Oryzias latipes: one gene and its partner. The protein of the gene in region 1 interacts with the protein of each later gene in a biochemical or structural test. Links are inferred from orthologs where the notes say so. Each region holds a gene or a part of one and is shown on either strand. Other genes may lie near its edges.

What was found. The genes of interacting proteins can lie anywhere in the genome.
Region 2: the proteins of rab27a (region 1) and sytl1 form a complex in vitro, tested with the Homo sapiens proteins (3 studies listed by BioGRID). The link is inferred for Oryzias latipes from reciprocal best matches to the Homo sapiens genes RAB27A and SYTL1.

What each region holds. Positions count from the first base shown.
Region 1 is NC_019861.2:21,646,939-21,657,126, forward strand, and holds the start of rab27a (ras-related protein Rab-27A), read left to right. Parts: upstream 1-3,745; 5' UTR 3,746-3,962; intron 3,963-10,161; 5' UTR 10,162-10,177; coding exon 10,178-10,188. Other genes in the region: protein PIGBOS1, read left to right, coding at 2,174-2,332. UniProt on the Homo sapiens protein: Small GTPase which cycles between active GTP-bound and inactive GDP-bound states. In its active state, binds to a variety of effector proteins to regulate homeostasis of late endocytic pathway, including endosomal positioning, maturation and secretion.
Region 2 is NC_019869.2:21,769,022-21,779,235, reverse strand, and holds the start of sytl1 (synaptotagmin-like protein 1), read left to right. Parts: upstream 1-4,227; 5' UTR 4,228-4,352; intron 4,353-5,711; 5' UTR 5,712-5,713; coding exon 5,714-5,838; intron 5,839-6,699; coding exon 6,700-6,851; intron 6,852-6,947; coding exon 6,948-7,062; intron 7,063-7,136; coding exon 7,137-7,188; intron 7,189-7,276; coding exon 7,277-7,310; intron 7,311-7,371; coding exon 7,372-7,424; intron 7,425-8,717; coding exon 8,718-8,831; intron 8,832-8,949; coding exon 8,950-9,116; intron 9,117-9,194; coding exon 9,195-9,297; intron 9,298-9,480; coding exon 9,481-9,642; intron 9,643-9,957; coding exon 9,958-10,036; intron 10,037-10,104; coding exon 10,105-10,204; intron 10,205-10,214. Other genes in the region: cd164l2 (CD164 sialomucin-like 2 protein), read left to right, coding at 220-306, 466-558, 649-687, 849-1,008, 1,207-1,222.

The sequences.
Region 1 (10,188 bases):
GGCTCACATCCGAAGCCTTGTTGTCAAGTCAGAGTTCTTGTGCGCATGCGTGACAGTGAAAGGACGGGATTGGTTACAGTCAATGGCAACACAGCTTTATTTCTATTTGATTAGGATGTTTTTAAAGAATATTTTTGTTGAAACTGATTGTTCTCAATATTTTGTAATAAAATAATTGAATCTGAGAGAATATATTAAAAATATTTAGTATTTAAAGACCCTACATTCTGTTTAGGGCTGCATGATATAAGGAAAACTCGCGATATGTGATATTTGAGATTAATATTGCGATAACGGTATAATTTGCGGTATATAAACAAATAACAAAATAACCAAAAACATAATTCCCATTTAATTGCAACAGTTTAAAAATTATACTCCAAATGATCCTCGTCGACATAGGTGACAAACATCTAACATAACAGACCTACATCCAATTGGTCAACAACGTGATTGATCAAATGCATAAAGGGATTTATTTGATTCGTTAAATGCTTCAAGTTACCTTGAGGTTGTATTAACACATTTAAGGTTTACGATTTATTGCGTTTTTCGCTGTCTTTTGCAATATGCATATTGCAGAGATATCGCCATAACGATAAATTTGAGGTATATTGTGCAGGCCTAATCCTGTTATTTATTAGCTATCTGCTGTTTTTAAATAGAGCTATGGTAACAAGGTAATTTCCCCTTTGTGGGATCAATAACGTTTCATTCTATTCTATTCTATTCTATTCTATTCTATTCTATTCTATTCTATTCTATACTGCTCTATTCTTAAATCCCTGAGGCTGAAAATTGTATAGGTAGCTCTTAAACATAGGTGTACTCCTGACATTCAATAAGAATGTACTTTTCATAATTTGGAAAAATTAGGAAAAATCTATTCGACTTTCCTTTTTTCAAGAATTTCGTCATTGTCTGACTTTTCTGTTCACTTTTGACTTGACAGCTCCAATAATGAATTTCATTATTATTAATCTGAAACTAATAGTTAATTAACCGCCTATTAGAGATGGAGTACTATCAGACAACAATAGTCGATTGCCTGGGTCCAACACTTTGAAGTTTTTGTTTAAACACATTTTTTCTTTCACCATGGGAATACATTGGTATTGAGCATCCGAAAAGCAGTTGGAAATTTGAATAACACATTTCAAGCTTATGATATTGTTTAAATTTCCTAATTTCATTTGTTTTAGATCTTTTGCCACAAGTGTCATAATTTAATAATAAAATAATGAGTGTCCATTTATAAGGTTTACCAAATGTGTTAATCATAAATAGACAATAACTTTAAGTTTTTGTTAAAGTATATTTAAGATCTTAGCAACCCTTAACCATTATTTGTGTGACGTCACCTTTTTTCAAGTTGTTCTTTTAATTCCCCACATGAGGGCACTCTTCGCTCCTTCAAGAGTGTTGTACCACAGCAAAAACCAGAAGAAGAATGCTCCTCTCATGTAAGTGTGCTTGCTGTGCGTTGTGGTTGCTTGTTGTTTTCATGTTTATTTGCCTTACAGAAAGACGCGCTGTCAGTTTATTTGATTTCGTATTAACTAATGCTATAGACTGTAACCTTTGTGCAAAAATACATTATGGCGGTTTTGTCTCATAAAGTACTCACAAAACGTCAAGGTTGTCAAGTTTCCCCCCCAGTTAGGACTCACTTCCGGTTTGAATTTTGAAAGTAACACCATAAAAACAAAAGTTTCACGTGTCTCATTGCTTCATCATTCATGACTTATATTATTTTAAAAACAAAACAAGGAAAACTAAAGCACTAATATTGACTCATCAGGCTTAGGTAAAGAATTTTATTCTGGTTATTTTAATTTCAAAATGGAAAGAACCATAATTTCCTCTAAAGCTAACGGGAGGACATGCAATAAAAATGTGGCATCATAACATTAGAAAAATAATTTGATTAAAAATAATAATAAATTCGTGTTTGTGGAGATACTGCTTTGGGTGTGTAAGTTTGAGGTGAAAGTTTCACTTACAACATGTTAAGGATGTGCAACATTCATCACTGTGAAGCAAATGCAAAAGAAAAAAAAAAAAAAAAACCCACCAGGAAATGATGTCTGCATAAATGTACTGATTACATCATTTTGCTTCTGTTTTTAGGATCTTCTAGTGTCTCCATTGGGATTTCTAACTGAAAAGGATCATGTTTAGGCAAAGATTGCCTTTCACGCAGTTGCTTTTGGCCACTGTGCTCGGGGTTGCGGGAGGCTTGTATATCTACAAACCTTATTTTGAGCCTGTACAGAAGATCTCAGGACAAGAAGACACAGATGTGCCGAAGAAACAGAATAAAACAGACTGAAGTAATTCATCGTGATAAAGAAATAAACAGACAAATGTTTGTGTCTTTATTTCAGCCACACTGCCTGTGTTGGACTCAAAGGCCATCATAAGATACTTTTTGAGAACGTGTGTATATTGAATAAAAATGTCTTAATTCAACATGACATGTGTAGAGCATACTTTAAGTAAATACCTTATGGCCTCTCCCTCTGCACACTTTGCAGAGATCGTCAGTCCATCACAATGAAACATAAAAGCCTCGTACTTTAACCTACTTCTACGGTCAGATAAGGATCACCGGTTCATGTGAGATTATGTGCAGAGGAATTAATGTCTTTTCTTACTAGCAATTAGCAAAACTTAGGCAAACAAGCAAAAACAAAGTATTTTTTTTTTAGCTTTACTTGTAAACACTGATATGTAATTATTAAATCTTGCAATGTTTGTACCAACACCAAACTTGAAAGAAGAATTGAAATGTTCTATCCAAGGTAAATTTTAAAGAATTTGAGTTAATATTGTTTGAAAATGTAAGCATTAAATGAATATGGCATTATAGAGATAAGCTGTTTGGATTGATAAAGAAATATACAGTTAAATGTATATAAAGTTATTTTCTCAATTTTCGTTGTGTTTTTCTAACTCTTACTATTACACTGAATCTACCATTAAGATGACAAAAAACTATAAATTTTTTTTCAAAGTAGGCAAACCCTACAAAATTAGCAATGGAACAAATACTGGATTTCTTCTACTGTATTGAAAAAAAATAATGCTATTTTAATGCGATGGTTGTATACCAGAGTGATTGCTTGTGCATTCATTATTTTAAGCTTTTATCAATACCTATCCAGTTTTCTATTAGGTACGTTGGAAGATGATGTGAATACCTGATGCATTCAATAAAACAACACAGCTATTGTTAAATGTCCCAAACCAGAGATAAAAATATTTCACCGCTTAACAAGTGTTAAATTGCTCTGTAGACTGCTATCATCCTGTTCATTGCAGTGGGTAACATTTAAGGTTGAAGAATAAAGTCATGTGCAAAGATTAATTATTATGAATTTTATTTATTTATTTGCTTTTGCTAACAACCATTTATTGGTTTAACAGCAATCACTTGTTAACAAATAATTAGTTCATAATTCATAAGAAATTTCTAATCAATTTATTTATTTTCTTTGTGTACTCCTTTACCATGGACATTTCTAAAATATTTTAGAAGGGAGATCAAGGAACCTTAGAGGTAACTAAAAAATTGCAAATTACATAAGTTTTTTTTTCATTCAGTATATCAGATTATTCAGCGTAACAATTTTATTTGTTGAATTTAAAACCAACCAATTAATATGGTTGTATTATTTATTCATCAAACTTTAACCAGTCAGATGGACTGACCCATGTGGGCCATCCTTGACGTGCTGCAGTTCCCGCCTGTACCGTCGGGAGGCGCTGTTTCTCAGCGCGGCCAGGCGGCAGTTGGTCTGAGCTCCGAGTAGATGCGGCTGCTCTCAAGTTCTCTGCTGGGCCAGAAAGGGACGCCGAAAGTCAAGAACTCCGTCATTTAGCTTCCATAAAGCCCGAAGCGGACAGTTGAGCGTTTTCTTTTTGACGACAGACAGCAGAGCAGCAACGCCCCGCGGCTGGTGAGTACTTTTTCTTTCAGGAAATGTCAAGAAATCAGCCCGTAGCATCTGTCAGAGGTTAGCAGGAAACTTTTTACTCGACTTGATGGTCTTGCTGGTATTTCTGCGCTTCCTTGAGAAACTGAAGAGCTTTGATATTTGGAAAACTTGAACCTGTTTCTCCTGAGCGGACACTTTTCTCGTTATTTTCTCAAGCAGCGAAATGACAAACCATCGTTACACCTTGCAAGCCACCAACATCTCTTCACGCAGGAGGTCATTTGACCAAACGGTCCAATTTTGAGAACAACATGTCTGAAAAAGTTTGAGAGTTTGACAGGACCCGCACTGCAGGCTAACTAAAATGTTTCCGGCGTCCCCCACATGAGGACCAGCTGAGGACCAATTGGTTTGGGATAATTGGCTGTTCAGGCCCGCATCTTTGCGTGCAAATGGATTTGGAGCGCCTCTTGTCTCACGTGTTTTTCTGTGCCTCCCTTTAAAAAAAAATAAAAAATGTACCCCCTCCCCCCAAAAAAGCACATTCACATTCTTGTTAATTATGTCACGTTGTATTTTGATAAGCTGGTGGTGCACATCCGGAACCCCCCTCCCTTGGCCGCCCACGGTGGCTCCTCCATTTATCTGTGACTTGGCTGCTACGTGGGTTCCGTCTTGCATGGGTGGGAGGGCTGGCAGCCGCGCTCGCCCCCTCCCTCTGTAAAATGAAGCAGGCAGAATAACATGAGTTTGACTAATCTTTATTTAAACATGGCTTAACATGGAAAGGATGTTACCAAGAGGTTTAAAACAACAGTTAACCACGGCAGACCAGAACCGTCAATCATTATAACTCACTTAATGGGTTTAAAATGTAAACATTGTTGGACTACAACATAATATCAAAAGTAAAGAGCACCTTTCACTTCTTAAAGACCCACTCGGATGCAAATGGTGGTTTGGTATTCTTGTGGCATTCTTCTCATGATGGAGGACATAATACATTAAGAGAATTAATATTAAAATTGCATTTCTGAGTATTATTTTATTCAAATTGTTGTGAATCAGGAGCAGATGAAAAAATGTCATTGGAAAAAGCTTTTAGGTGTGACGTAGGAGCTCCTACGGCAAGCCACAAGCTCCATTCCGATGCATCCAGTTGCAGACAAATGGATCCGTGTACGTCTTTGTTGTCCTCGTTCAAGCTGGTATCTAATTACAACTGGATGGCTCCCTGTTGCACAGGTAATGTTAGGTTGGGGGTGTAAGGGGCTGTAAGCTAGCAGGACAGAATGCAATCAGATGGATTTTGGGAAACTAGGACAGACTCAGGACTCAGCACCAACAGTTCCCAAAACTCAGAGACAAACTTCTAGTGAACTACTGCCGTCTGCTGAAACGGTCCTAGAAAATTACAGGTTTTCTGATTATGTCTTAAAATGGCATAATCATAATTAAAAGACCAATGGGACGCTTTTACCATAGATCAATAGAAAATTTGGAATGTGACTATTTTAAAATGTTAACACTTCAATTTTAAATTCTAGTTTTGCATCTGAATTCGTTTTCCTTTTTGCAATTCTTTTAAGATTGTTGAAAGATTCTTTCTAATTTTTGAGAAGCACTTTCTATAAATGAGTTCTCATCTTACAAATCTGTTGTATTTTATTGAACTTCCATTTGTCATTGGAAATAAAAATGGAATATTCCTGACCTTTGACTGAACAGTCACTTTATTCATTTAAGTAGGAGTCATCAGATGAACCCGCTGTTAAATTGATCATCGCTTTCATACTGATCAGCTGATGTCGTTTTCTGTTCGGAAATACATCAGTCAGTCTGAATTTATCTAACACTTTCCTCTGTATTTTAGCCATTTTATATCAGGAATGCTTTCTATATACTACAGGTTATTCATAATCCCCATTGATAGGCTCATTTTTGTCTTTCTAGCTTGAAAGCTGCTTGTGTAAAAAAAAAAAAAAAATCATAATTTTAAATTTTTTTCGAGCTGCAAACTAAACAAGCTAACATGCTTAGCACATGTTACCTTAACAGGAAACTCATGAGACATTTGGCCATGTTTTTCTAAAGAAAAAAACCGTCTCCGACAAACTTCCTCAATAGCTGAGAAGGTGATCCTTGCACAAGACTGTTGCCACTTTTGTATGTAGATAAACTAGTTTATTTGCTGTACAGGTTCATTCAACTGAACCAGCTTCAGGTTAGAGCAGTTTATGTATGAAAAGAATTAGGGTCTTGAGGGCCCTTCCAGCTTATAATATATCCAAATTTATGGCCTTTTTTTCTAATGTCACGTGCATCACGTCGGCCACGTCTTTGATCAGTGGAGTAGCACAAATTGGGCCATGATTGTCAAAGGAAAGCATATCTTAAGTAGCAACGGCTGCACTTCCCTTTTTGTTTTTTGCTCAGCTCTGTAAAAGATCTCATTCTGTCAGTAGAGCGTTTATTTTTCTCAGTTATGACACGACAATGAAGCGAGGCAAGATTCTTTTTCATAACTCATTTGTCACGGTGCCTTTGGAACACGTCTCATACAAAGGAAACGTCTGATTAGATTGATAATCTGCTAGAATATGCTGAGGCAGTCTTCCCTCCGACAGTGTGGTTTTGCTGTGCTGTGCTGCCGTTGTGACGTGTTTTCACCTAAGCAGAAGTACTGGACCCTGTCAATAAAGAAGATCTGAGTTTAACTAGTAGATTGATCAATAAGCTGTCAAATCAGATCCAAATGTTGATACTTTAATTCACGTGAAGTTGTTGAGATTTCCATTTTTCTGTCTGCTGCTTCACTGTTTATTACCAATACTACCAACTAGATTTTAACAGTGTGATGTTATTCAAATAGGTATTACACTCATAATACTAGTTTCAGGTGACAATTTTCTATTCACTAAAATGACAAGGTGTGAAAAGTTCTCCTGCCTGAAAATAAATCCCATTCAAAACTCATCTTCATGCAGCAACTATTGTTTTATACAGGATTATTTTTTGTTTTTTGTTTTTCTGACTTTTAGGGTTTTCTCTTTTTTCTTGTTTCTTTGACTGCTTTCTTTAAAATGCTATACATTTGTCAGTATATGCAACAGTTTAAAGTCCCACTCCCATCATCTTTTGATCTATTGTAAAAGCATGCCCAGTGGTCTTTTAGTTATGATTTTGCCATTTGCAGCCAAAACCTAAAAACGTGTCGTTTTTCAGGACATGTTTCCTGCAGAGCCGCTGGAATTCATTAGAAATTTGTCTCTGAGTTGTGGGCGGGACTGTTTGCACCGAGCAACTCCGCTCCCCTTCCCCTCCCCGTTGCTAAGAGCTCATAGCAGGGAGCTTGTGGTCCGCCCAGTGTTTTCTACATCACAAAAATGTTTTTTTTTTTTAAACAGCCTTTTTTCATTCGCTCCTGATTCACAACAATTTGAAGTAGGCGAGGGTCATTTTAGAGAATCATTTAAGTTATGTTGACTGTTATTTAAAACAAACTGTTGCAGTGAAATGTAGATGATGTTTTTGGATGTTATGCTATTTTTTTCATGTATCATAAGTTACATCGTCATTGAAATATTGATCATTATTATCACAAATTGCGAGTTTTCCTCATATCGGGCAGCCCTGATTTTAATAAAGAAATACTCAGAAATTTAAGTTTGAGCCTAATTTTGGCTATGAGTCTTCCAAATGCCATAAGAACATGTTAAAAACTCCAAAACAGGATTTTCTACAGAGTGGAGCTTTAATGAATAATATGGGTCTTGCTGCCAAATGACTAAATTGATTTGATTTTGTTTAACAATTGGTTTAATTCAGTTTCCAACTCTGTAGGATTAAATTAAACAGATTTTTTCCCGAACTTTATATCAATTTTAATAAAACTTTTTTTGTTTTTGTTAGATTATTAAAAAAACTGAGCTACATTTACAAGAACTAAAAAAATAAATTAAATACTAACAGAAAATCTTTTTTTTTTCTGCCTAAAAACACCATAAATAACGGATAAAAGAAAATGATTTCATGGATGTCATGAATCAATGTTATATTGTCAAAGTGCAAATTGATAAAACTTTTTCTTTTAATTCCAAAACATATTTACTGTGCTGTTTTTAGTTTGACCGGCTTTATTTAGCAAAAATGTCTAAGTTGTGGAATAAACCTGAATGTGAAATAGCTGTGGTGACATTTCCTGTTCCTGACAACAGATTTTTGGGTTGATCCACAGGAGAAGTTTTAGTTTAAAAAAAAAAAGTCTTTAAATATCCTAAACAAATAGAAATGAGTCTCAAACCTCTAAATGGGATTTCATGAAATGCTCTTCAATTCAGTTTTGTTGGCAGCCATGTTGGGTTCAGTGGGGAGGAATTGATTCATGTCATCAGGAAAGTCCTGTGGAGTGGGTTAGTCATCGTAGTTGGCATCACATCAGAGCTTTCCCATAACAGACTCCTACATTGACTGTAAGAGGACTGAAACTCGTTTGTGTGGTGATGTCTTGCTTGTAAGCGATTGCATCGTGGTGCAGTATTAACGTTATTGGTGCAAACTCCACGGGTTTGCATTGCGGCTAAACAAAGTCAAGTTTTGTGTCGAGATGGGACCTCACCTCTTTGCGGGGGTTATACTGTGAATAGAAACAGCTTAGACGTTATTACAAATAAATATACTGCCTAAGGTAGGAATGGGGTTTATAAAAATGAACGTGCTGATGAAATTCAATTGGAAAATTCAATATTCACTCATAAATCTTCTTTTATCTGGCAAATACAGATTTTCAGTTAGTTTATTGATTTACAATTTTATCAATGTAAGCATTCGTTCAATAGATCACTGACAAATCAAATCCTGAAAGAAAAGTTGAATCATGAATTTGTAAACCAAAGTGAATTGTCGAGATTCAGTAGTTTGGCTGGGATATTTTGGGACGTGGAACAGCCAGAAGTGGGCGGAGCCATGTTTGACCTAACTTTGCTGCATTCAGTCAATGGCTGCAAAGGACAGAGTGTTTGTTTTCCAGCAGTCTTCGCCCTACTTACTGCTGATCACCTGGATCAGGTGTGTTCTGCCATGAAGACGCTGCAAGTGAAGGCAGGGGGGGGGGGGGGGGCTTAATGGGATTCTTCTGAAGTATGCAGTATGAACTATGTGACAGATTTATATAAAATTAAACTAACAAAACACCTTTAACTTTTTAAGGCTGAATGTGTTGTAGAGCTCACTTAGCCTTGTATGCAAGAAAAGCTGTGCAGTGGAGCAAATGAAACGTTTTTGAAAACATTAAAAGAAAATCTGGAAAATTCAAAACTGATGATTAGAAATGCTTTTACACTAGAAGTGAATCACATTGGAGATAAATGCCTGTTAGAAGAGCTTTGTTGATGCCAAACTTGATCCAACTTTTAATCTTTATTGAATCAAAACAGGTTTGTCTGCAGAGATGCAAATCTTGCAGTTGTGGGATTTGCACGTTGTAACTTTCTGTTTATGGCGCCGTGAAGCTTGCTGCCATGACTTCCAGCACATTTTTCATGGATCTGGATTCTGCATGAAACCCCAATCCGCTTATAGTTCTCGATGAAAGGTTAGGGGGCGAGACAGGAATGCAGGGCTTGTCTGGCTCTGGTCAGCACCAACCATGTGATTTGGCTTTGCTGCTTTTTTTAGGTTTTTCCTGCAGTTATTGAAGCATTGCAAAAAGTTACATCAAGTGTTTCATATTTCCTTGAGTTAGTCACAGCCTTGTGATGCTTTACATTTTGTTCAGGCAGATTTAAATCCATTCTTAATCCATAATACCTAAAAGTTTGAATGTAAAGCTTGGCATGTTGCAGTAAACTGAGATGTGTTGTTTTTTTTCATTCGTTTATTAATATTATTTAAAAGAGGATTAGTGTTTCCTCAGGCAATGATTGTGCAAAATATTTCCACACATTTTTGTTCTCTGTCATTTTAAAGAAGTCCTTTTTATGAAGCTGCTGCTCCTCTTTCCTCTCAAAGTGCTACATCTGCCTGTAGAATTACAAGAGAATGTTTTTTTCTATTTTAAAGTATTTAGAAAAGGCTGGAATAACAAATGGAAATCTTTACCACTTTTTTAATAATTTTGTTGTTTCCTTTTGTTTACATTTCGATTGAGGATTTCCTATGTCTTCTGCTAGGTTACTGACCATGTCGGTTTGTGTTTGTTTGTAACAATCCTAAAATGTAGAAATCAAGGATTCAGCATGTCTGATGG
Region 2 (10,214 bases), on another chromosome or scaffold:
GATTTGTCATCTGCTGTTGCAATGGCACCTATTTTCTTCATTTTCATGTAAAAAAATCTCGATTTTAAAACTAAAAAAAAAAAAAGAACAGGAGTGTCATCTCAAAATATTGCCCCGTACTACATTTGTCAGTCTTGAAAAATGTCTTACAATAAGGGTGAGGTGGTTAAATATATACATTTCCAAATGCTGCCTACTGACTTCAGTTTTGTCCCACAGATTGTTCTCAAGCAGATTCATGTGACCTGTGTGTGGGAGACTCCATGCTTAACCTGACCGGCTGCGTCTGGAGACTTTGCCCAAATGGTGACCCACACACAGCTTACCCCTGATAGTAATTCAATCATCGCAGCTGCTGTAACTGTAGCTCCCCTCATTTGTAGCAAATGATTGAATTATTTAGTTCTGTATACCAGGAAACCACATAGGTGCATACTCAAATGCGTTTTTTTCCCCCCATCCCAGGTAATGATACAGGTACATGTGTGGCTGATGGCGGTGATTCAGCTGACATGGGCATGAACTGTAGTTGGACCAGAGTCTCTGAACTCTGTGCAGGTATCAAAATAGACAACAAAACCAAAAAAAACAGATTGAAAAAAGGGTATTCAAGTTTCTTTGTTTTAACCTATTTTTATGTTTACCCAGTTATAGAAAACGTTGCAACTGGTGGCGAAGGTGACGCAGGTAACTTATATCCTCAACCACCTTCCCTCCCTTCTGTTTCGCATCAAACGTTAATTTCCATAACAGCTGAGCAAAGTGTATGAGAAAAGTGGATCCTTTCTTTAACACCTCATCCACTTATGTAACCATGGTGTGAACCCACTGAACTGTCTTTTGTTAAGGTGATGCTTCGGACACCACCTCATCCCCTGAGTTCTCCCAGGCTAAGTTCGACATGTCCAGCTTCGTAGGAGGAATCGTACTTGTGCTGTGCCTGCAGGCAGGCGGCTTCTTTGCCATGCGCTTCCTCAAATCCAAAGAGCAGAGCAACTATGATCCAATGTGAGTTTGAGCATGGAGGTGTTACACAACTCTCATGTCTGCAGCAGCTACCAGCAGCCTCTGGTGGCTAGAATGATCAATGGCACACAACATGCTGCTCAGAAAAAAAAATTTTGTTTGCATTTTAACCTCAGATTGTCTATTAAGTCTAATCACAAATCCATTTAGTGCTTTTGCTGTCTGTGTCTTTCTGCGCAGAGAGCAGCCCCAGTGAAGATGAGACGCACAAAGGACAATCAGACAAGGATGAAGGACTGCAGACGCAGAGCAGTGACTCATCAAGTTACCACCAGATTTGTACACCTCTTTTAGCTGCTGTTAGCTCCCTATATAATAGGCAGATGTTCTAAATGTTTCTTAGGATGCTGCCGGCGGTCACACACCTGTAAGCATTTGTACAAAATACACAGAGACTGTGGTATGGTGATAATTTTGGCATCACTTCTGTAGGATAGGATTGCATGACCCCTGAAGAATAGAAACATAAATCATGAGAGTTTGTTTTTTAGAATTGCCTTCAAAAATCCAACAACAAAGTGGTTTAAAATATTCCCCTGAAAAAAAAATCGATAATTCCAGCCTTTTTGCTTGAGAGAAACATTGCAATATTTCAGATGTTTATTCAAATAAATGTCCTTTTGTGTTTCTGAAATTCCTCCTGTTAACTCATAGAAGTTAATTTCATGTGTAATATATTAATTTGACAAAAAATTTAAAAAATATATCATAAATGGAAAGCTTTAAAATTTTTGCAGTGAAAAATCCTGTTAAAATATCTTTTAGATTTGTTTTTTTCCCCCTACTTTTCTGTAATCATTGGAAAAAAACATGCACTTCTTCTTCCTCCAATGTTTAGTTTGATTGGTACTTGATTTGTTTTGTTTCTGCAGTGTCATTTATCAATCCAGCTAAAATTGAGTTTGTTAAGTGATCTTGTCTGGCATGAAGCAAAACAAGCCCAAACCATGATGCCACCACTTTTACACATGTGATGTTTTTTAACCCTTGTGCTACCCTAGGCACTGTCACGTTGGGTGTTGGGTCATCTAGACCCACTAGACAATGTGTTGAACCTTTTTCTTCAATGATTTGTGATCTTCACTGGTGTCCATGGATTACATGAAATCTTTCCACCTTTATGTTTTTGTCCTGGTAGGGAGAAGACGTCAATGTAAGGATCGGGTCATCTAAGATAGCACAAGGGTTAACGCTGGACTGCCCTTTTTCGTCTTTGGGTTTCAAAGTTTAACTAAAAAATGACTTTATGGCTAAAAATGTTTTAAAACATTTTAAGTAACTACTGTGTCTCTTCTTGAACATCTGTCATGCACAGCATTCGCTGTTTGATGTAAACAATAAAATTCTTTACGTGCTTTTATGCGATCATGGGTCCTTTTGTGAAAAGGTGATACTCTGATATTTAATTTAAATTACTGTGGTTTAAAACACCCTGCATGATCATGGCTATGTAAAGTTGAAAATATTTAATCAGGGGGTGGAAAAGTCCCTCCAGCCAAGTGAAAGTCAAAAACCAGCATTGTCATATGGAAACCTCCTTTATTTAGAGCATTTAGACATCTACTGTTAAGAGCTGAACATGTGACTGCATCAATCCATGCTATATATTTTAAATTTTTAAGTTGCATGACTCAAGAAAAAGAAGAAAATGTTTAACTTTATAAATATGGATCAAATTAAGAGGAGCTAAAGAACAAAAACAACATTCAAAAGGCTTAACCCTTGTGCTATCTTAGATGACTCCACCCTTACATTGCCGTGTTCTCCCTACCATGACAAAGGTGGATAAAGGTAGAAAGATTTCATGTAATCCATGGACAGCAGTGAAGATCACAAATCATTGAAGAAAAAAGGTTAGATTTGGGATTAGGATAGCACAAGGGTTAATTTGCCATCAAGGGGATTTCAACCATGATTATTTCCTGACATCTTACTGAAAACCTTTGGATGAGTATTTTCCCACTGTTCAGTGCTGCTGTTCCCTCTCATAGGTGCGGGTTGTATTCGTAATCCTTGTGCTATCCTAGGCCCTTTAACATTGGGAGTTGGGTCATCCAGACCCACTAGACAATGTGTTGAACCTTTTTTCTTCAATGATTTGTGATCCTCACTGGTGTCCATGGATTACATGAAATCTTTCCACCTTTATCCACCTTTGTCATGGTAGGGACAATATGTCTAAGGGTGGGGTCATCTAAGATAGCACAAGGGTTAAAAGATGTTCATAATTGCTCCACAGATATGTTAGTTTATCATGGGTGTTTAGAAATACTTTGTTTTTTATTGCTCATATTTATGTTGGATTTTTCAGGTTCAACCCTGTGATTTAGAACTTTATACAGAAATGATGGTGCTGTGTAATCCTGTTTTTGGCAAACATTCCAAACAGTTTGCATTTTCCTAACGTCCCATTGCTTGAACAAACAGCTTTTCACTATGTAATGTGAGCCCCTTGCATTTAAATTAGGAGCAGCCAATGCCATAACACATCTAACAGGTTTCAAGCAAACTAGGAAAAGAAGAGATCAGAATTCTAGTACGGACACACCTCAGACTTCTTACATTTAAATGTGGCTGTAAATATGAGTCGTGACCCAAACAGAGCTTGGCGGCCTAGAGGAGCAGCAGTGGCTGGTCTCCCAGGATCTACAGGCATGAATAAGCCCACACAAAAACGTTTCCCCAGCTGAGCAGAGCGTGGCCGTCATCCAAGTTTGTTGACAAAGGACAGAGCTGAATTCTGCTCCCCTCCCGCCCACTGATGCACAAACACCTAAACGCAGAGTGAAAGGAAGGGGAAGCACAAATTCTAGTGCACACTGGTTAATATGCTACTGGGAGTTCTCCCTCCTTTAAAGCAAGCAGAGTCGCTCCCATGTGCAGATATACTGTATGTGTGTGTACAGTACAGGACATGGTGTTTGTTTAGCAGGCGTGGATAGAATCAAATCCCACCTCCACCCTGCCTTCTTCGTAAAAAAAAAAAAAAAAACATCCGTGTGTGTGTGTGTTATTCAGAAAAATGTGTCATTCAAGTATCACGTGATTTCTTCAAATGCTCGATGAAGTGTTCATGTTGACATGAGTTTGTTTGGTGCCTTTTAAATGATAAGAAGCTGGATTCTGCCTGAAGTCAAAACTTCCAACAAGGTGAGAATTCGTCCGGAGGCGACATGTGACCACAAGTACGCACGCGCAAAGACGGTGCGTGTCTTTTAGTGGCTCCCATAGACCGACCTTTTTGTTTGTGGGGCGTGTTCTCTCAACTCACGCGAACACTTCACGAAACTTCTCTCTAATGGATCTAGGAGAAGCGGTCATGTAAGGTAATAAATGCGCATTTTCTTATGTTTTCCAAAAGAATAACTTGATTAAAAGCCGTGTTTTTAAGAGAGAAACGTGAGGGCGGCAGGTGTTCTTTTTCTCTTTCAGGCAGGTTCATCTGAGTCTTGCAATCTCATTTTTTGCTGAAATGACCATGAAGTTAATTGTAAATTTTTCCCATTTTTTAAACTTTGCAAATATCTATATTTAAAAATATGTTTTGAAAAAAAATCCCCTCCTAAGTTGTTGTACCGCTGTCAAGTAAGTCAAAAACAATACTTAAATATTGTTTGATTTTGGAAAGCTGAAGTATTCGTGTGTGTGGTTACTCACTGTAACAGTAAACTGATTTGCACATGCGTCTGTTTCAGGGTCTCTTACTGGACATTTGCTACACAAATTTAGTGACAAACAGCTTTTTAGGTGGGTTTTGGCCTCCAGCTGGAGCTGGAGCTTCCAAATAGTCACGTGACAAGGCTCTTGTTTATTTTCTTGGCTAGGAGATAAGAGGACGATGTGCAGATAAGTGAAGGAAAAAAATCACTAGCTATTCAGAATGTTGTTGTCTTTTACTTCATATGATAACGTTCTCATAAGTACTGTTTTTTAAAATAACTTATTTTTGAACTCATTTGAACATAATGTGCCCAGAAATGAGGGAAACCCCCAAATTCTGGACATTTCTTGGACAAAAATGGGACACACTTCCTTTAAGCTTTGTTCATTCAGGGCCATTTGTTTAAATTAAAAGTTTTGACTTCTTTAGGGCAATTTTTCTCCATCACATTTGGAAAATACCTGTTGTTCTGTTGTTATAACTTAGTGATTGAGATGATTTCAAAACTTGCAATGCATTCTTTTAAGTGGTTTTTTGGTGATTTCTAGAATAAGGCTGGGATTTGCAGGCTTTTTTAGTCTTCTGTCAGACATAATCATTTTGCCTAAAACCACATAAGCGTCATCTATAAAATACCTTTCCGTTGAAGTATGTAAAACAGCTAGAGAAACAAAAGGATTCTCTGTTACCTCATGCATTTTGTCCGTGGCAACTTTCAATTCAAAAGTTTTTCTACAGAGAATATATGCCTGAAAAAATTAAAAAAGATAAAAAGTTAAAAAGAAAAAATATTAATTGTAGAAAATCTTTTGGTAAAACATAAATGAAAAAAATATTGTTTGACCATTTATGATGTTAATTTTTCCATTAATTTATTTAAAAGATCTAAAGTACCCCCTGGAGAACATTTGAGAATCCTTGATTTAGGTATAAAAAATCTGTCAAAACTTTTAAAAACCTATCCATTTTTTCCACTTTGGTGCAACCTAAGACCAATATATTACCATATATAACCCTCTGTTAGGGATGGCGGGGGAACGAGTCAATTCATCTCTCGATCTGAGCCACCTGACCGAGGACGAGAAGACCTCCATCCTTCAGGTCCTGCAGCGCGACCTGGAGCTGCGTAATCGTGACGAGGGCCGTGTGAGGTCAGTTAGAGGTGACTTTCGTATTCGCTACAGAGAGGAACGGGTTCACTGTAAAAGAGCTTTTGGTTCTTTCATGGTTGATGATGTGAAAAAAGGGGCTGCACGGTGGTGCAGTGGTTAGCGCTCTTACCTCACAGCAAGAAGGCCCCTGGTTAAAGTCCCAGCTGGGACCTGAAACAGAACATCAATGGGGGACCTTTCTGTGTGCAGTTTGCATGTTCTCCCCGTGCATGCATGGGTTCTCTCCAGGGTCTCTGGCTTCCTACCACCGTCCAAAAACATGCTTCATAGGTCAACTCTAAATTGTCCCTAGGTGTGAATGTGTGTGTGATTGTGACCCTGCGACAGACTGGCAACCTGCCCAGGGTGACCCCTGCCTTCACCCACAAGTGGCCAGGATAGACTCTGGCAGCCCTGTGACCCCAAAAGGGATAAAACAGCAGAAGACAAATGATGTGAAAAATCCCAATGTTTTCTCCATATTTGTTTACCTTCTGTAAATTTGAAAATCCTCACCTTAAAATTTAAAGATAAACTTTTGAAGCAAATATGAAAAATATTTCATTAACACATTAATGCATTTTAAGGAGAATGAGATCAGTTCTGTAGAAACATATATGTAAGATTTTAGCTAAATATTTTAAAATATCATTTATTTTAGCTTTTTCGTGAAACTGTTTTGTGAAACTGAGTTATCACTATAGTTTTGGTCAATTGGTGGATTTCTAAGATCAAATATCAAATATAACATTTACAATATGTCTGGTACTTTTTTATTCACCTAAAATATTAAGATATGACGTGACATTGACTAATTCTGGAATAACCCTGAATCCCACTGTTTGTCTTTCAATGCTGCAGGATCCTGGAGCAGACAGGGACAAACCCATCTTTTCTGCGGCTGCTGTCCGGGCGCTGGTTTAAGGAGGAGTGCAGCAAGCGCCATAACAGCTGGACGTCGGGCAGCGACCTCATCCGGGCCTCCATACGCCACAGAAAGACAAAGAGCAGAGGTCAGGTTCCAGTAAATGCGCTCGCCTGCCGAGCCGTGTTACGGCTGTTGTGGGGAAACCTCAGCAATGGTTCTGTGGCTGTTGCCATGGCAACAGATGTATCTCTGCAGGAACTGTTTGATGGAGAAAGACGGGAATCTGTTGCTGGCAGCGGTTCTCTGGAGGCAAAGGGGAGACCGAAGGACTGCAAAGACAAGGAGCAGGATGAAGGGTGGGTATCTGTCACAATCAGACCACTAATGCGACATTTGAAAATTTGATTCAGCTTCTCTTCTGTTCTTTCAGGCCTCATGGAAACTCGGCACACACAGCCAGACATCAAATTCCTGGCATGCAGGTGTGTGTGAAAAATCTTGTGTTTGTTTCCCATCCTTTCAAGTGTACTCAACCATCTTAATACACCAATCAATGATCTTCAACTACAGGAGAACAGCAGTATTAATACCTCACACTCCAAAGGTATGAACGTGTCTTTCCTGATATCTTTGCTTGCGACTCTTTTTACATAATAAACATGTAGCTGTGCCAATAGGATATGAAAGGAGAAGTAATGGCCACCCAGGGAAATACGAGGTGATCACGACGCACGCACAGACCAACACCCCCCCCCCCCCACACACACACACACACACAGGATCTTAACTAATGGTTTGGCAAACATCTACTCTGAGTGCCACCCTTGGGCCACAAGCTCTAACCAAATATTTGACATTATGCAAGAGGAGGATTCATTCAAACCTGTTTTCGCTCAATGCGTTACATTATTATGCTTCAGTTTCATGTTCATCAGATGTACCCAGCTCACTGGATAGAAATAACCAAACCTTAAAGTTTGAGGAACTCCGTAAACAATCTGTCTAGAAAAAAAAATACATCAATGAGGGAAAGAGATATAAAATCATATCTTAGGAACATTTTCTTCCTAGAAGAAGGTTGAAAACAGATTTGGTTTTGCAGCCAAAATGATCAAGAAGGAAATCTAAATCTTTATGCATCTTCTGCAGAGGTGGGTGAAAAAAATGAAGCTGCAAGCAGCACTGAAAGGAGCTGAAGCCCAAAGAAAAATGCAAGCTCCCTTTTTCTAAAGCTGCATTGTTGAACTGATGGTGTGCTCTCCAAAGGCTCACTTGTAATTAGCAAGAACGCTGATTAAAACACGAGCGTTGTTTTTTTCCAAATGCAAGGGGAGCGATCTGAAACTGTTTTCTGATTCTGCAAGAGTAGCTGCAGATCAAGTCAAATTTTTTGGAAATTTTGTCCAAATGAGTGTGATATTATGGAGATATTACTTTTACCTTTGTAATTTTATCTTTGTTTCTCAGAAAAGCTGCCAAAAATCTTCTACAATTTATGACGTTGTTCACATTTTAATGTGTTATGAATCCAGTGTTTATTAAAGTTCAAAAAGAAATGTGCATGACTAAAAACATTGATTTGTGTATCTAAAGTGCAGATTGGGACTCCAAATATTTTCTTTGGACCTCAGGCTAACTCCAACTGACCTTTATCAGTTTATTGGAGAGCATCTGCTGGACCAGAAAAAAGAAAATAATAGAAAGCAAACACTAAACCACATAAATACCTCTGCAGAATCAGTTAAAGCAGCTGCTTCTCCCCAAAAGCCACGAAGTGCATACAATATATTTATTGATAAATATATAAATTGAGAGATTGTTTATGGTTTTGTATAATTAGTATTCTGAATCATTGTGCTTTATTAATTCATAATACGCATACAATTTAAAATAAAGAAAAAAATAAAAGTACATCTTATCATTTCTCAAATGACTACATATGTTTGTTCAATTAAATGGCTTTTTCTGAGTGAACATATGTGAGTACAGTTGTGTGTTTGTTTGAGTGCAGGAAGATTTGAGTCACAACAGGGACCCAAACTCTCTGAGCATCAGCCTGACAGAACAAGATCCATCCTCCCTGAATACCAAGAGCTCCACCAACAGCCTTCAGTCGAGCTACACGGTACACACACGAACGCGCATGCACGCACACACATTTGTCAAATCCACTGTCTGGCGACGCAAGATGACTCAGCTCTGGACACTGACGCAGGAGCTGATCTTTGCTGTTTGTGTTACAGCTCAGTGGGAGCATGATGAGTCTGTTCAGCTCGGGGGATTTCGGGGTGGTGGAGGTGAGGGGCCGCATCCAGTACTCATTGGTTTACGACGATCACAAGGAGGAGCTCCAAGTGAAGGTGTACTGCTGCGAGGACATCGCCTCGGCGCGCAGGAACCGCTCTGATCCGTGAGTGAAAGGGTGTGCGTGAAACTGGCAGCGTCCCTCAGATCCACTCCGTGAAAATGGTGCTTGTTCATTTCACAGATACGTAAAGACTTATCTCCTGCCAGACAAGTCCCATCACAGTAAGAAGAAGACTTCGGTGAAGAAGAAGACACTGAACCCAGTCTATGACCAGACCCTCAGAGTGAGAGCATCCCGTTTGCATGTTGCATAAAACATTAGCATTTGTCGTTTATCTTTCAGCTCTGTGGCTGTCATCGCAGTGATTAGTCATGCATATTGAAAAAAAAACAACACAGCTACTATTCACCTTTTATGTCTCATAACTCAAGGTCATTGGAGTCTTTCTTTTTCTGCACTCTTCAAGTATAAAGTGCGTGCAGGGGAGCTGCAGAGTCGAACTTTAAACCTCTCTGTGTGGCATGCCGAGCCCCTGGGGAGGAATATCTTTCTTGGAGAGGTGGAGGTGGCTCTGGGGCTCTGGGACTGGACCTGCACACAGCCACTGTGGCAGGACCTGCAGCCACGGGTGAGCACCCTGATGACTGGCATTGACGTAAACTCATACTCAGTCAGGTCCTCTATTGCATGTGCGAAACCTCCTTCGGGTATAATTACCAAGCGACTGTGAAGCCTCCATCTTCATTTGTTCTGCAGCTGTCGTTTTGACAGCTTTGTTAGAGACGAGGCGGGGAGGAGTGTGTGGGGGGGCTGAGGAGAAGCAAAGACACGCTGTGAATTTTAACTAAGCTTTTTGGGTTTTTTTAAACGCAGCATTAATCTCCAGCTCTCGAGTCTGTCTCCACTTCCTTCTCTTTGTCACAAACTTCTCCCGTTTGCACAGATATACCTGAACCCAGACTGTGTTAGCAGCAGAGGGAAAATCTTGTTCTCGATTAAATTTGTTCCAGATGGATTTGAAGGTGAGCAGAAAGTACGTTTTACCCAACGCCACACGACTGTTCACTGTTCACCGGGTGTGTGTGTTCAGGTGGGGGTCTGCCTCTGACCGGGGAGGTTCACATTTGGCTTCGGGAGGCTCAGGGTTTGGTGTCCCACAAAGGAGGCCCGATTGACTCCTTCGTTAGAAGGTGTGTCACC